Linked DNA regions of Pelodiscus sinensis. The protein of the gene in region 2 purifies or fractionates together with the protein of the main gene of each other region. This does not show direct contact. Links are inferred from orthologs where the notes say so. Each region holds a gene or a part of one and is shown on either strand. Other genes may lie near its edges.

Region 1 (6,992 bases), on a different chromosome or scaffold from region 2:
TCAGGGTGGCTTGGTGTAAGGGTTGTCTCAGAGCTCTGACTTCCTCCCTCTTTGCCAGCAATACTGCAGGGATCTCCCTCCGGCACCTGATTATAGTTTGTCATGGAATTAAGTTTCATTGGATGCATTGCCTGCAGCTCTGTCCTCCACCCCATGGCACCACTTAGGGCAAATGTGTCCACCAGGGGTTTTTTCTTGTGGCCCCAGCCTCCTGGGCTGGGCTGGAGAGGAAGTGGCTTCTCCCAGTTGCTCCTGGATGTATTGCTTTGGTGTTTGATGGAACCTAGGTCAACCTAACGTTTTAGTGTGGAGCAGGCCCAGTTTGAGCATGAATTACAGTGGTTTACATTACATGTAGCTGCATGAGGGGTTTCCCCAGGTTACCTACCAATTGGTTAGTTATACTGGTGCAAAAAGCCCATGCCTAGGCCATCCCTAAGGCTGCATCTTGGAAATGGGGTGTTGAGAACAATAGGCATTTCCCAGGGCTTCCCCCATTTTAAAACTGTCCCCCATCCTCCCCAGCCCCTGCTGGATAATGGGGAGCAAGAAGATAATGGTGGGTGGAAAGCAGGTGGGTACTGTGAGCTTGCAAACCTACCATAAGCCAAGGGCAAGAAGGCTTTTTTTCTTGCTTCTACTCTGTTTATAATGTTGTCCACGTTAGAAAGGTTGCTCTGATTAAACTCTGTTGGTTTCTAAACCAATAAGATGACAGCAATACAAAAACCCCACAGAGACCAGTCCTAAGTATTATCCCTCAACACAAGCAGGGAGAGTGTGGCTGCTCCCCCCCAAAACATGATAGGGCAATTTGATCCCTTGCATCACTCTGGAATTTCTCTCACTACATGAGTTTCCATGGGGTAAATGCCTGAGAGCTGCCAAGGGCAGGGGAGGGAAAGAACATGGGACAATCATTTCATGGGGTCCGTCCAAACTCTTTTGGGACAATTGCCGCAAGACTTCACAGGTGCAAGGTGGGAGTCCATGGACCAAGTAGGCAACTCTAAAGCTTCATTGTGTAGAAATATTCGCTTAGGCACAGAACTCTTCAGTATTTGTTTTTAATATTAGTCTCTGCCTTTTCCCCAGAACTGTTCACTTAAAAACAAATTGAATGGCTAAAATAAAAAAAAACCACAATGTTATAAATATGCTGCTATTGATTGTTTACCTACCAGGACTTTTTTTTTTCTTTCCTTTCCTTATTTAAAATAAAGACATTTCCAAAACACTCTCATTTTACACTATTTTTTTCTCTGTTATTTCTCCTTTCATCTAGTTTAAAACAAAACACAGCAAAACCCAGATATTTTCCTTTTAAGAGGTAGAAATTAATGGTTCACCCAGTCTGGCATCCTGCCTCTGGCAGTGGCTAATTCCAGATGAGTAAGAAAAAGGTGACAAATTTTCATCAGACCTATGGTTAAGGAAGGTCTCAACATGCAAAGGGACATCAATCTGATTGTGTGAGCAAAGAAATCTGTGCTGGCAGAACTGGGGCCTAAGTATCCCAGCAACAGCAACCAGCCTGGCCACCACACGGCCACAGCCCTGACTCCCGGTGGCAGCAACCCGCCCGCCTGCAGCTCTGATGGCGTAGCAACCCACCTGTCCATGGCCCCAGCCCTTGATAGCAGTAATCCACCCAGCCATGGCCCCAACCCCGGAGGCAGCAAACCATCGACCCACAGAGCTCTAACCCCCAGCGCAGCAACACACCCGTGGTTCTGACCCCTAGAGCAGCAACCCACCCACCTTGTGGCCTTGGCTCTGGCAGCAGCCACCCTCTGATACAGCCCAGGGCCTACCCTGCCACGGGGGCCCCGGTTCTGGGAGCAGCCACACCACTCACCTTCCAGATTCAGCAGGAAGGTGAGTGCTGCTGTACTGCTCTGTGAAGGAGGTGGGTTGGGTTAGAATTGTTTGTGTGCGGTCATGCACTTTAGAGGGAACACTGGTCCAGAGTTACAAATAAATAGCAGAAAAAGAGGGGCTGGGGAGGGAAAGGAAAGGGGGGGAATTATCAATTACAGTGTCTGTGCTAAATGAGGCTAATTGAGTGGGCTATAAATGCCCAATACTTAACTTGTAATGTCATTAGGGTGTTGAATGTAGTGCCCCATCCAAGTAACGTCTTTGTTCAGACCTTGGTTAAAGGTGTCAAAGTTGCAGATGAAGGTGATTTCTGCAGCTTCTCTTTCCAGCTGGTTTTTTAAATTGCTTTGTAACAGGATGGTCACTTTGAGATCTATTAGTGACTGCCTGGTCAGGAAAAAATGTTCCCCAACGGGTTTCTGTATGTTTCCATTTTGAGTATCTGATTCGTGTCCATTAATCCTTTGTCATAGAGACTGTCCAGTTTGGCTAATGTACATGGCAGACAGGCATTGCTGACACAAATCACATTAGTGGATGTGCAGTTGTATGAGCCTCTGATGTGGTGGCTTATGTGGTTAGGTCCTGTGATGATGTTGCTTATCATAGAATCATAGAACCATAGAGCTGGAAGAGACCTCAGAAGGTCAAGTCCACCCCCCTGGTCTAGACAGGACCAATCCCAACTAAATCAACCCAGCCAGGGCTTTGTCAAGCCTTAAACACCTCTAGGGATGGAGACTCCACTACTTCCCTAGGTAAGCCATTCCAGCACTTCACCACTCTCCTAGTGAAATAGTTTTTCCTAATATCCAACCTGGATCTCTCCCACCATAACTTGAGATCATTGCTTCTTGTTCTGCCACCTGTCACTAATGAGAACAGCCTCTCTCCATCCTCTTTGGAACCTCCCTTCAGGAAGTTGAAGGCTGTTATCAAATCCCCCCTCACTCTTCACTTCTGCAGACTAAACAGACCCAACTCCTTCAGCCTCTCCTTATAGGTCATATGCTCCAGCCTCCTAATCATTTTGGTTGCCCTCCGCTGGACCCTCTCCAATGCGTCCACATCCTTTTCGTAGTGGGGGGTCCAGAACTGGACACAATACTCCAGATATGGCTTCACCAGAGCTGAATAAAGGGGAATAATCACATCTCTGGATCTGCTGGCTTGCATAGATGTGTGGACAGAGCTGGCGCTGGAGTTGATTGCAGGGGTGCATTCCTGGATGAGTATGATGGAGGTGTGCTGCGTGGTTACAGGAGAGAATTTGTTTGAGGTTAGGGGGTTGTCTATATTTGAGGACTGGCTTATCCCCCAAGGCCTGTGAGAGTGAGGGGTCATTTTCCAGGATAGGTTGTAGATGGTTGATGATGCGTTGGAGGGGTTTAAGTTGGGGTCTATGGTTTAAATGGTGTCTTGTTTTCTTTGTTGGGTCTATCTTGAAGAAGCCGATGCCTGAGTACTTGTCTGGCTCTGTCAATCTGTTTTTTTCATTTCCCTGGTGGGTATTTCAGTTTTAAGAATGCCTGATAGAGACTCTGTAGGTGTTTGTCTCTGTCTGTGAGATTGGAGCAAATCCAGCTTTATCGTAGGGCCTGGCTGTAAACAGTTGATTGAGAAATGTGTCTTGCATGGAAGTTAGCCTGGTTTAGCAGGACACTCTAATTGACAATTTTCCCCCTTCTCTTTCCCTCCCCATCACCTCTTTTTCTGCTATTTATTTGTACCTCTGGACCCCTTGCTCCATCCATCTGAAGAACTGGGCTGTGCCCACAGCTCCTCTGCATGGTTTGTTAGTCTCTAAGTGCTGCAGGACTATTTGTTGTTTTTTAATTTTTTTCAATAGTGGGATGACATGGTAGCAGGAGATAGCTCAAAAGTAGGGTGACAGAGTAGCGGGGTATAAGGAGCTTCCCGGGTATTGAGGGAACTGGGGAGTATGAGCGCGGTGGGAAAAGAGAAAGTACCAGGATCCACAGCAATCATGGGCCCCGCAAGACCCAGCGTGGCCCTTTTAAGGCGGAGGGATCCAGGGGCCGGGCTCAGCCCCTATATAAGGCTGGCGGAGGGGGTGCCGGCTTCTTTCTCCCGGCCGCACCGCAGCGCCAGTAGCAGGGACTGAGCTCGCTCCTGCCCGAACCCCAGCCCATCACGGTAAAGGCGGGGCGGGCGGGCTCGGCTGGGGAGGGGGGGGGGGCACGTGGCGCCGCCGGGCGCTGCCATGTTGAGCGCGGCGGGGGGGCGGCTCGCGGGGCCGGGCCGCGCGGCCGGTGCCGTTGACCGGTCGGGCGCGCGCTGATGCGGGCTGTCCGCGTTGCAGATGCCGGAAGCCGCGCAGCATGGCGAGGAGGAAGTGGAGACCTTCGCCTTCCAGGCCGAGATCGCGCAGCTCATGTCGCTCATCATCAACACCTTCTACTCCAACAAGGAGATCTTCCTGCGCGAGCTCGTCTCCAACGCCTCCGACGTGAGCCCCCCCCCCCCCCCCCCCCCCGCCTGCCCTTGGGCCAGCCCGGGCCGCGCGCGCTAACGGCCTTCGCCAGCGGCGCCCGCCCTTGGGAATCCCCTCGGCGTCCCTCCCCCGCCAGCCTCCCTGGCGCAGGGGAGCCACAGCCCAGGGCGGGTTTGCCCCGCTGCCCTTGGGGGAGCGGGCATGGAGGCGGCATCCAGCGTCACCCGTTGGTCTGCAGGGATTCTCTCTTCCTGGGGGTGGGGTGGGGTGAGCCCATCTCTGGCCTGTGTGTTGCTCCGATGGGGTATCCACAGTGCTGCTCTCATGCAGGGCCTTGTGTTTTACCCCTTGGAGGGGTTTGAGTGAGCCCAGGCCCTTTGTTGGGGGTGTGTGTCATGCTCCCCTTCCTCTCCAGAGCAGGCAGAGGACGAGATCCAAGGAGCAGGTAGGTGAATAGTAACTGGGCCTTGCAAACCTTCACTCTTCTCCTCCAGGCCCTGGACAAGATCCGTTATGAGAGCCTGACAGATCCCTCAAAGCTAGACAGTGGCAAAGAGCTAAAAATTGACATCATCCCAAACCCCCGGGACCGCACCCTGACTCTGGTAGACACAGGCATCGGTATGACAAAGGCCGACCTCATCAACAACCTGGGCACCATTGCCAAGTCTGGTACTAAAGCCTTCATGGAAGCCCTTCAGGTGAGTAGTCTTGAGTCCGGGCACAAGAGCGTGTGGGCCTGGGCACCTCCTGGGCTCGTGTCCTTCATAGGGCCTTACAGCTTCAACACTCAGTGTTTGCTGGAGGGACAGTCGCCTTCTGGGTCCGCATCCTCCCAGGGAGCAGCATAGAGTGCTCTTGGCTTGCCCACGTGTTTCCCTGCTCCCTCCTGCACATAGAGAAGGTGGCGGGGCCCTGCCCTATCCCTGTCTCTACTGTGCATTGGCCCAGTTCCCTGCTACTGGAACACACCTGACAGACATCGCCGATTTCTGGTGTCCTGATCTTCTCATTCTGTCTCCTTCCCTCTGCAGGCTGGTGCTGACATCTCCATGATTGGGCAGTTTGGTGTGGGCTTCTACTCCGCCTATCTGGTGGCTGAAAAGGTGGTGGTCATCTCCAAGCACAATGATGATGAGCAGTATGCCTGGGAGTCATCAGCTGGGGGCTCCTTCACTGTTAAAACTGATCATGGTATGTACTGTGGAGATGGGGCTTGCAAGGAACCAGCTGCCCCTCTCCTCTCTATCTTCCATGGGGTCCCATGGCTTTGAGAGGGTCGATGATATGGGGGGGGGGGTGAGGTGTTGTAGCCTTAACTGCTACTGGTGGTGAAACAATCACGGGGGGAGAAGGTCGCAGGGTTGTGTGTGAAGGTGAAAGTAACCTGTCATCTTGGGTTAGGTCTCAGGGCTATCCTGTAGGTGCAAGAGGAGAAGGCTACTCTCAATGCTAACCAAAGCCATGGTTTAAGCTTGGTGCAGGCTCAGTACTAGCAGTGCATCTGCCCTACTTTCTCATGACCTTGGCTCCCATTAGAAACACTGTGATGATCCTCCCTTTAGTTTAGCGGTGGGCTGCACCTGCCATTGACATGAGATCTCCAGTGAGCTCTGTCCAGCGGTAATGCCACAGCCTCTCTCCTGGTGCCACAGGTGAGCCCATCGGGCGCGGCACCAAGGTGATCCTGTACTTGAAGGAGGATCAGACAGAGTACCTGGAGGAACGGCGGGTCAAGGAGGTGGTGAAGAAGCACTCACAGTTCATTGGCTACCCCATCACCCTTTACGTACGTATGTGAGATGGCAGGACCCATGAGAAGGACAGATAGAACATGGGAGAGGCCCAGGCTGAGACTGGGGAGAGATTGGTACATTCTGCCTTGAGCCTTCCTATCCCCCCGTGTGTGTATGTAAGAGACTGTGATGGGTGAAGGCAAGAGCTGGGCACTCATCCTGCTGCTAAGGAGTTGGCCAGAAGAATGGTACGAGTGGAAACTAGCTCACTGCCTCTAGGGGGAGGGTATCACAGAAGGGGTATACTGTTCTATCAAACTCACATCCCTAAAATCCATGCCGGTGCTTTGGGCCAGCACCTCCCCTACCTGGTGAGGGGGTGGGGCTGGAATTCCAGCCCTCTGTCTCCTCTTGTTTGGGCCTCTAGTGCATGAGCTATGGGAGGTCTCAACCAGCTGGGGGTGGCCATGGTTCCTTATCCTCTTGGTTGTCCCAGCCACTGAAAGGCACCATTTGCAAAATGTGAACCAGTGCTTTATGTGCCGTGCATCACGGCAATGTTTAGCTTAGTAGGACACCTACCTCCCTTGGGGCTATGGTGTTTGTCACTGCCCTGATCTTCTGCAAATAGGAGGCCCTGAGTAAGCTAGTTGTCTTTGCCACGGCCGTCTTTCTACCTCTTCCTACAGCTGGAGAAAGAGCGGGAAAAGGAAATCAGTGACGATGAGGAAGAGAAGGAGGAGAAAGAGGATGAGGACACAGCCCCCAAGGATGAGAAGCCCAAGATAGAGGACGTGGGCTCAGATGAGGAGGAAGAGGAGGGTGGTAAGGGCAAGAAGAAGAAGACCAAGAAGATCAAGGAGAAATACATTGACCAGGAGGAGCTGAACAAGACAAAGCCCATCTGGACCCGCAACCCT
Region 2 (7,646 bases):
GGGGGAGAAGGGTATAACTAGGAGTAATGGAATTAAAGAAAGTATGAAACTTCCTGACATTCAGCCTAAAGGTTTCCCAGCAATGAGGTATTAAGTTGTAAAAATGTAGCAGGGAAACAATGGAAGCATCTGCTGGACACATTAGATTATTAAAACAAAGAATGTTTAAACATGTAACTTGCTTTTTACTGTCTGGGCTTTGTACTGTTGAATGTGGACAAAAGTAACTTACTTTATTGACTAAAACCCTGAAGAAGAAACTAATACTGTAGTGTTTATTTTTACACTAACCTATATCAAAATTACATAAACATTTCTCAGATTTTGTCATGTTTTTTACAAAAGCTAAGTAGAAATTTTGTGTCTGTTCATAAAAGTAATAAATTAAAGATAGAATTCTTAAATGTGCAATAATCCTGTACTGAAAACTACTTTCCTACTTAATAACAAAGTGCAAACCAGCATGTCATCTTCCCTTTCTTTTAGTAGATGGCATATAATTGTCTGCTTCTCTTTTACAGCGTGGAGGTCCAGAATAATTACAGAAGACACTTATACACCACCATTGAATGAATTATTATGTTCACATTAAAGGCCTTCCTCACTCTATGAATGTTATAAACAGTTTGTTAATAGCTTTAATAAAGACCCGGTTTAATGGGGTGAGAAAGTTGACACGTTAGACACTTGTCTTCTAATTTATGTTTCTGGACTAACTTTTTTTATTAAAGACTAATTAAGGTAATTGTGTGAATCCACTTTATAAACCTTCACTATTAAAATGTAATTTAAGCAATACAATTGTCAAGAATATCTATTTTAGTAGCAATTGTTGATCCATATAGGTCCAGATCTAATGCAAAATATTTCTGGCTTATAAGATGAGCATTGCTACTTTTTATTATAAGAACTTTATAAACTTAATATTTTTAGTTTTCAACTGCCAGACATATATATAAAAAAGGGCTTTGATTCTGGCATCCAGAATGGTGGCTGCTTGCTCTGAAAATGTATGCACTTCCTGGGGTAGAGAACAGCATTAAGATAGAGGGGATCAACTTATTCTTGGACTAGCTTTATTAATTTAAATTATGTTTGGAACAGATTTTAAACTCACCTGCCTCCACATTATTAGAGAAAACTACCAGTCAGAGCTGATTCTAGCTTTCCTGAGCTTTCGAGGTCAGATGCATTATGGGGCTGATGGGTTTGGCCTCAAGAAGAGAATTACAGGTATCCTTTACTACTTTCCATGTTTGCTCAAAAAAATAATCATAAACCTTAAGTAAAAGAGAGATTAAAAAATTGAGTGCCACATCTGCTAAGTACTCCTTATACCTTGAGCAATTTTAACAGGTTAAACTATGCCACTATCCCAGTAAGGTGGAGACTGTCCCTTCTATGCCTTGATGCTTACTAGCACAGAAATAAGGTTTTTGTTTTATACCTTTCAGTCTATTAAAATAGACTTTAGACCCTTCTTAGAAGATACAAAACCAGTCTGAGGGGTAGAGTTGCAAAGTTACAGTCTCATGTTGGGGAAAGAACTTGCCTACTGTCTTTTCAAGATAATATCTGAGTGGTTTTCAGGTTCAGTTGTCAGCTTGATTGATTCTGTATGAGTCAAAGTAAATGTAAACTCTAAAGTCTTGAAGTGTAGCTGCTGACAAACGAGACCCACTTCAGGATACATAGAGCTTTGAATCCACATCTATATCTGTAGAAATGAGCCACTGATATTGGCATCTATGGTTGTGAATACCCACAGATATCCATCGATTTACAGGGCTCTAATATGCCATATTTACAGATAAGGATGGGCAACACTATATCAGCTCTGTTTAGCTAGCAAAACAAAACAAAAAACTCTGTCTTACTACTTAAATAGTGATAGAAATGTAGCCGTGTTAGTCTGGGGTAGCTGAAGCAAAATGCAGGACAATGTAGCACATTAAAGACCTAACAAGATGGTTTATTAGATGATGAGCTTTCGTGGGCCAGACCCACTTCCTCAGATCAAATAGTGGAAGAAAATAGTCACAACCATATATACCAAAGGATACAATTAAAAAAATGAACACATATGAAAAGGACAAATCACATTTCAGAACAGGAGAGGGATGCGGGGGAGAGGGGGGAAGGAAGGAAGGTAAGTAAGTGTCTGTGAATTGATGATATTAGAGGTGGGGAGAATGGGATGTCTGTGAGCTAATGGTATTAGAGGTGATAATTGGGGAAGCTATCCTGGTAATGGGTAAGATAGTTTGAGTGTTTGTTCATTCCTTCTTGGAGAGTGTCGAATTTTAACATGAATGACAGTTCAGAGGATTCCCTTTCAAGTGCAGATGTAAAAGGTCTTTGTAGCAGAATGCAGGTGGTTAAGTCATTGAGAGAGTGTCCTTTCTGGTTAAAATGGCAAGAAACTGTTTTTTCTTTGTGATCTTGTCTATCTGTTTCGTGGGCATTAATCCTTTGGCGAAGTGTCTGAGATGTTTGTCCAATGTACATAGCAGACGGACACTTTCGGCACATGATAGCATAGATTATATTTCTGGATGCGCAGGAATATGTGTTCTTGATCTTATAATTCACTTGGTTAGGTCCAATAATGGTATCAGCAGAATGAATATGTGGACAAAGCTGGCAACGGGGTTTGTTGCAGGGGAAGGTACCAGGGTTGGTATTAGTGTGGTATGTCCTGGTAAGAATCATCTTGAGGTTAGGTGGTTGTCTATAGGAGACTATGGGTCTGTCTCCCAGAGTCTCTTGGAGTATGGTATCCTGTTCCAGTATAGGCTGTAGTTTATTGATAATGTGTTGGACAGGTTTAAGTTGGGGGTTGTAGGTGATGACAAGTGGTGTTCTATTGTTGTTTTTCTTGGGTCTGTCTTGTGGGACCAGTCCTATTGAATCTATTGTATGTTTGAGAAAGCTTGAGAGTGAGTCTGTCCCTCCATTTGTTCAAGAACTAAAGGGTAAGAGCTAGGACCACCAAATTTGGTATGCAGCTTCCTCATATAACTTAAAGCAAGGTAAAGATTTGGTTCTGCGTGGAAGGTGGGGAAGGGGAAATCTGGAAATAATTGTCTGAACAGGGGAGTTGAAGCACACAAAGGATGAATGATTTGCTCAAGGTCATGGAAGTTTGTCAGAACAAGGAACATAGAATCCAGTTTTTCTGTCAGAACAAAAAATATAGAAACCAGATCTCCTGATTACTAGTCATGAGCTCTGGAACACAAACCGTTCTTTTCCCAAAGTACAAAATGGGGATGCCAAAACATACTGAAGAGTATATTAAACAAAGATTAATTTGTTCATATGATTACTGTGCATTACTTACACATGGATGAATAAAAGAGTTTAATTCAATTCTTGTCTACCTGAGGAAATTTGAACAGCTTCCCCTTCTCAACACTTAGGCCAGAATAAGTATATCCACACACTGAGCTTTTCTGGATTAGTGCTTTAAAATAATGTTTAAGTGTATTTAATGTGTCAATATGACCAGTTCTAACTGGAGGTTGGCTGCTACTTCCAGTATAATTGAATGGTTGCATAGAAGGGATAATACCATGCTGAAATGCAGAGCATGCAATAAAAAGAGCAGTTTCTTGCAAGAGTTAATTGTATAGTTCTAATAAACTGGCTTGTTAAATCAAGTGCACATTCCACTAGCACTGGTAGGAGGTCGTAGCCAGGATGTGAAACATGGATGAAAGTAACTCGAAGGAGTATACTCTGTCCAAATTTTCCTGAAAATGATTCCACTTGAGAGCTGGAATATTAATCATAAAGTGCTGTTATACTGAGCTTGATGAGAGCTTTTTAAAAAAACCAGATAATGAAGTGATGGGATTCTGCCTTTTAGACCACCATACTCCTAAATTCTGACAATAAAGCAAAACAAAAAAAATCACTTTGAATATTTTATTCCTCTAACCTCCTCTGCTGTTGAATAATCTTATAGCAGTACTCTTCAGGAATGGTTTGGCTCCACCTAGGCTTGAGCAAGAGGTTGTGACTTGTCAACTGTGATCCATGCCTATCACCCCCAGCCCATATCGCTGAAGTGCACTTTTAAAGGAGCTCACACCTCTACAAATTAAAGGGGAGGCCTGCAGCTGTGTCTCAGTGGCAACCTGGTAGAGGGGAAGGTGTTGGTGAGTGTCCGAGGGGGCGGGGAGAGTTGAATTCAGGCTCGAGCGCCCCTTTTCCCAAAGCTGGTGTCCCTGCCTCTCGTTATGGGAACCGCCCCCGTCCCTAGCGGCGAGCCTGGTGAGGCCGGGCTGTATGCGTGCTCGGCTGGCTTCAGGCAAGCTCCCCGCCCGGAGCTGCTCAACGGGCCGCAATGGTCCAGTGCCCTGGTCACCCCGCCATGCTCAGTAAGACCCCGCGCGACCCGTCCTGCCCCGCTCGCGGCCGGTGTCTGACCCGGGGCGGACTCCGAGAGGGCCGGAACCTAAGACCGCCGAGAAACGCGGGCTACTTAGTGACTGTTGCTAGAGCGGGACGCTGGCGCCGCGAGAACACCTCATTGCAGCCGCTGGGACGGCGCATGCGCCGGAAGCTCGGAAACGGGGCGGGGTTCCGCGTGGGGGCCGGAAGTAGCGGCGCTCAAGCAGTGACGGTTTTAAATCCCCTCGGTCCGGTTCCTCTTCTCGGCTGGTGATGGACGCGAGGATGCGAGCGAAGCGCTACGAGAAGCTCGATTTCTTGGGCGAGGGGCAGGTGAGGCCTGTGAGGGGGTGTCTGGACAGGGGCCTGGGCTGGCCAGTTGGGGGGTTCGGCTCGGGGCAGGGGGTCGGGCCAAGCCGGGCTGCGGTGTCCGTGTGGGGAGTGACTCCCGTTACATCCACCAATCCCATAGCTGCTGTATCGCAGCAGAAGTCGATCCGCAGCCGGACAGCGTGTGGCTCGGGGTGGGTGTGAGAGGGGCCTGAGTGCTGGGCGGAGGGTGGGGATGTGGGGTGAAGACTGGCTGGGCGTGTGGGCTCTGGAGTGGGGCTGGGCAGGAGAGTTTCAGGGCGCAGGCTTCTCGGGAGAGAGGAGACTTTCAGCCCTCTCACCGCAGCGGCCTGAGTCCAGGCGAGAGGTGTCTCTCCAGGGCTGTTGCAGCTCCAGCTGGCACAGCGAGGGCAGGGACACCTGTCCCCTAACTGGGGGAGTTCCAGGCTCTGGGTTGGGATCTGGGAAGGGACACCTGATTCCCCAACAGAGTGGGATGGACACTGTTGCCAAGGGAGTGGTGTGCCTTAAAGGCCCCAAAATAGAACTGCTGTGGTCAGGGGAGCTCGACCCCTCCTTGCAGGCTCTGGCATAGAGCTGGCTTGGTATCTCTTCTGCAGAAGCTCTGTGTTAGAACTGGTGAGGATAGGGGCTTTTGTCCTAGCTACTCCAGGATTGTGCTGGGGCCAGCAGGCAGAGGCAGCACTCTGTGTGGTGGTCCTGAGCCTCTCCACAAGGCTTCGTAGGCAGCTGCATGGCCATCTGGCTACACAACATAAAGGGAAACTTAGCTAGTCTGGGGTGGCGGTAGGGGAGCCAGGGCTGGCCAGTGCTATGGGATGAGAGGTGGGAGTTGCAACTTGGAAGAGGGTGGGCTGGGACTGGCCTGTGCCAAGGGTTGAGGTGTCTGCTGAGGACCATCCTAGCCTCTGTTATAATGAGGCTGAGGAAATTGAGAAGGTGTGACTAGGTGTAGAGGCTGTGGGTTGGCAACTGCAGTCCATTAAATTAAATTATACTCTGGACATATGACTTAGGTTGTAATATTATTGTTCCCTTGTTTTGTTTCCGTGGTATGAAAGAGACAAATTTAGTGAGACTATGCCATCTGCTACCTATTAAGGTCACTTTTAAGCCAGCTCCACGCACATGCCAGCTCCCAAGGATCTGTCTGATCCTCCCACTACTGCCTCCCGCAGAGGTGAAGGTGGGGAAGGGAGCCAGTGCTCACAGGGATCCAGCTTAAAAGTTGGCTCCCCCCGCGTACTGGCTCCTGCCTGCCCCCTCCCCACCCCGTGCTGCTGCCTCTGTATTAGAGGCAGCAGTACAGGGGGGCAGACGACTCTTCGAGAGCTGGTGCTTGCAGTAAGCCAGCTTAAAAGCCAGCTCTGCACACACACCGACTCCCATCTCCCATCCCTCCCCCTCCACTGCCTCTGATAGAGACAGCGGAGGTGGGGGGGAAAGGGTGTAACTGTGGGCTAACCAGTGAGCCCAGGCATATTGGTAAACAGTGTACTTGAGTACACATCGACATCCTTAGCAGGATCGTTGCTAGCAGATCAAGAAGTGATTATTCCCCTCCGTTTGGCACTGGGGAGGCCACATCTGGAGTTCTGTATCCTGTTCTCTCACATGCACACACACGATACAGAAAAGATGTGGACAAATTGTAGAGAGTCCAGGGAAGGGTAACAAAAATGATTAGGAGGCTAGGGCACGTGACTTATGAGGAGAAGTGGAGGGACCTGAGTTTATTTAGACTGCAGAAGAGAAGAATGAGGGGAAATTTGATAGCCTTCAACTACTGAAGTGGAGGAGGGTTCCAAAGAGGATGGAGACAGGCTATTAGATGAGTCCATAGAAGAAGCTCTTTGTTCTATCAAGTTGCAATGAAGGGAGGTCTAGGTTGGATGTTAGGGGAAATTACAGTAAACTTCCGATAATCCGACACCTTTAGGACCTAGGGGGTGCCGGATTATCAGATATGACAGACTATCGGAAGGGGGGGCTATGAGGGGTCTAGGGTGGTGTGGGGGGGATGCCACCCCAGACCCCTCATAGCCCTCCATTCGGTAGTCCGGCTCTGCCCCAGGCATGCCCGAATCAGCTGCTGCTGGTCAGTTTCAGCAGCAGCTGAATCGGGACGCCTGCTGCAGAGCAGCTGGGGTGCTGCCAGGTTGGTCCGGTAGCGCTGCCCCTTGGCGCCGCGAGATCAACCCGGCAGTACCTCAGTTGCTCTTGGTGACGCCTGGGGCAGAGCAGCTGGGGTGCTTCCGGGTTGGTCCCACAGCCCCAAGGGGCGGCGCTACTGGACCAACTCAGCAGCACCCCAGCTGCTCTGCCCCAGGCATCCCCAGTTCAGCCGCCCGTTGAAACTGACCAGCAGCTGACTCCGGGAAGCCTGGGGCGGAGCAGCTCTGCCTCAGGCTTCCCGGAGTCAGCCGTCAGCCACTGGTCAGTTTCAGCAGCGGCTGAATTGGGGACAGCTGGGGTGCTTCCGGGTTGGTCCCGCAGCACCGAGGGGCAGTGCTATGGGACCTATTGGCAGCACTCCAGCTGCTCTGCCCCCGGCTTCCCTGATTCAGCTGCTGGTCAGTTTCAGCATCAGCTGAATCAGGGAAGCCGGGGACAGAGCAGCTCCAATGGTCCGGCTGCCTGGAGCATTTCCGGGTTCCTGATGGTGCTGGACCATCCGGAGTGCCGGACCACCAGATGTCAGATCAATGGAGTTTTACTGTATTTCACTAAGAGGATGGTGAAGCACTGGAATAGATTGCCTAGGGAGGTGGTGGAATTTACACCCTTAGAGGTTTTTGAGCCCTGTCTGGAATGATTTGGTTGGGATTGGTACTGCTTGGAGCACGAGAATGGAATAGATGACCCCCTGAGGTCTATTCCAACCCTAACCTTCTATA

What was found. Proteins that work in one complex are often made in the same cells at the same time.
Region 1: the proteins of CDK7 (region 2) and HSP90AB1 purify together in Homo sapiens (affinity purification with mass spectrometry; 4 studies listed by BioGRID and IntAct, counting the BioPlex papers as one, with this or other methods). This does not show direct contact. The link is inferred for Pelodiscus sinensis from reciprocal best matches to the Homo sapiens genes CDK7 and HSP90AB1.

Annotation. Positions count from the first base shown.
Region 1 is NC_134713.1:140,492,667-140,499,658, forward strand, and holds the start of HSP90AB1 (heat shock protein HSP 90-beta), read left to right. Parts: upstream 1-3,901; 5' UTR 3,902-4,038; intron 4,039-4,204; coding exon 4,205-4,351; intron 4,352-4,830; coding exon 4,831-5,037; intron 5,038-5,370; coding exon 5,371-5,530; intron 5,531-5,991; coding exon 5,992-6,125; intron 6,126-6,761; coding exon 6,762-6,992. UniProt on the Homo sapiens protein: Molecular chaperone that promotes the maturation, structural maintenance and proper regulation of specific target proteins involved for instance in cell cycle control and signal transduction. Undergoes a functional cycle linked to its ATPase activity.
Region 2 is NC_134716.1:88,001,663-88,009,308, reverse strand, and holds the start of CDK7 (cyclin-dependent kinase 7), read left to right. Parts: upstream 1-4,571; 5' UTR 4,572-4,671; coding exon 4,672-4,731; intron 4,732-7,646. Other genes in the region: KGD4 (alpha-ketoglutarate dehydrogenase component 4), read left to right, coding at 522-539. UniProt on the Homo sapiens protein: Serine/threonine kinase involved in cell cycle control and in RNA polymerase II-mediated RNA transcription. Cyclin-dependent kinases (CDKs) are activated by the binding to a cyclin and mediate the progression through the cell cycle.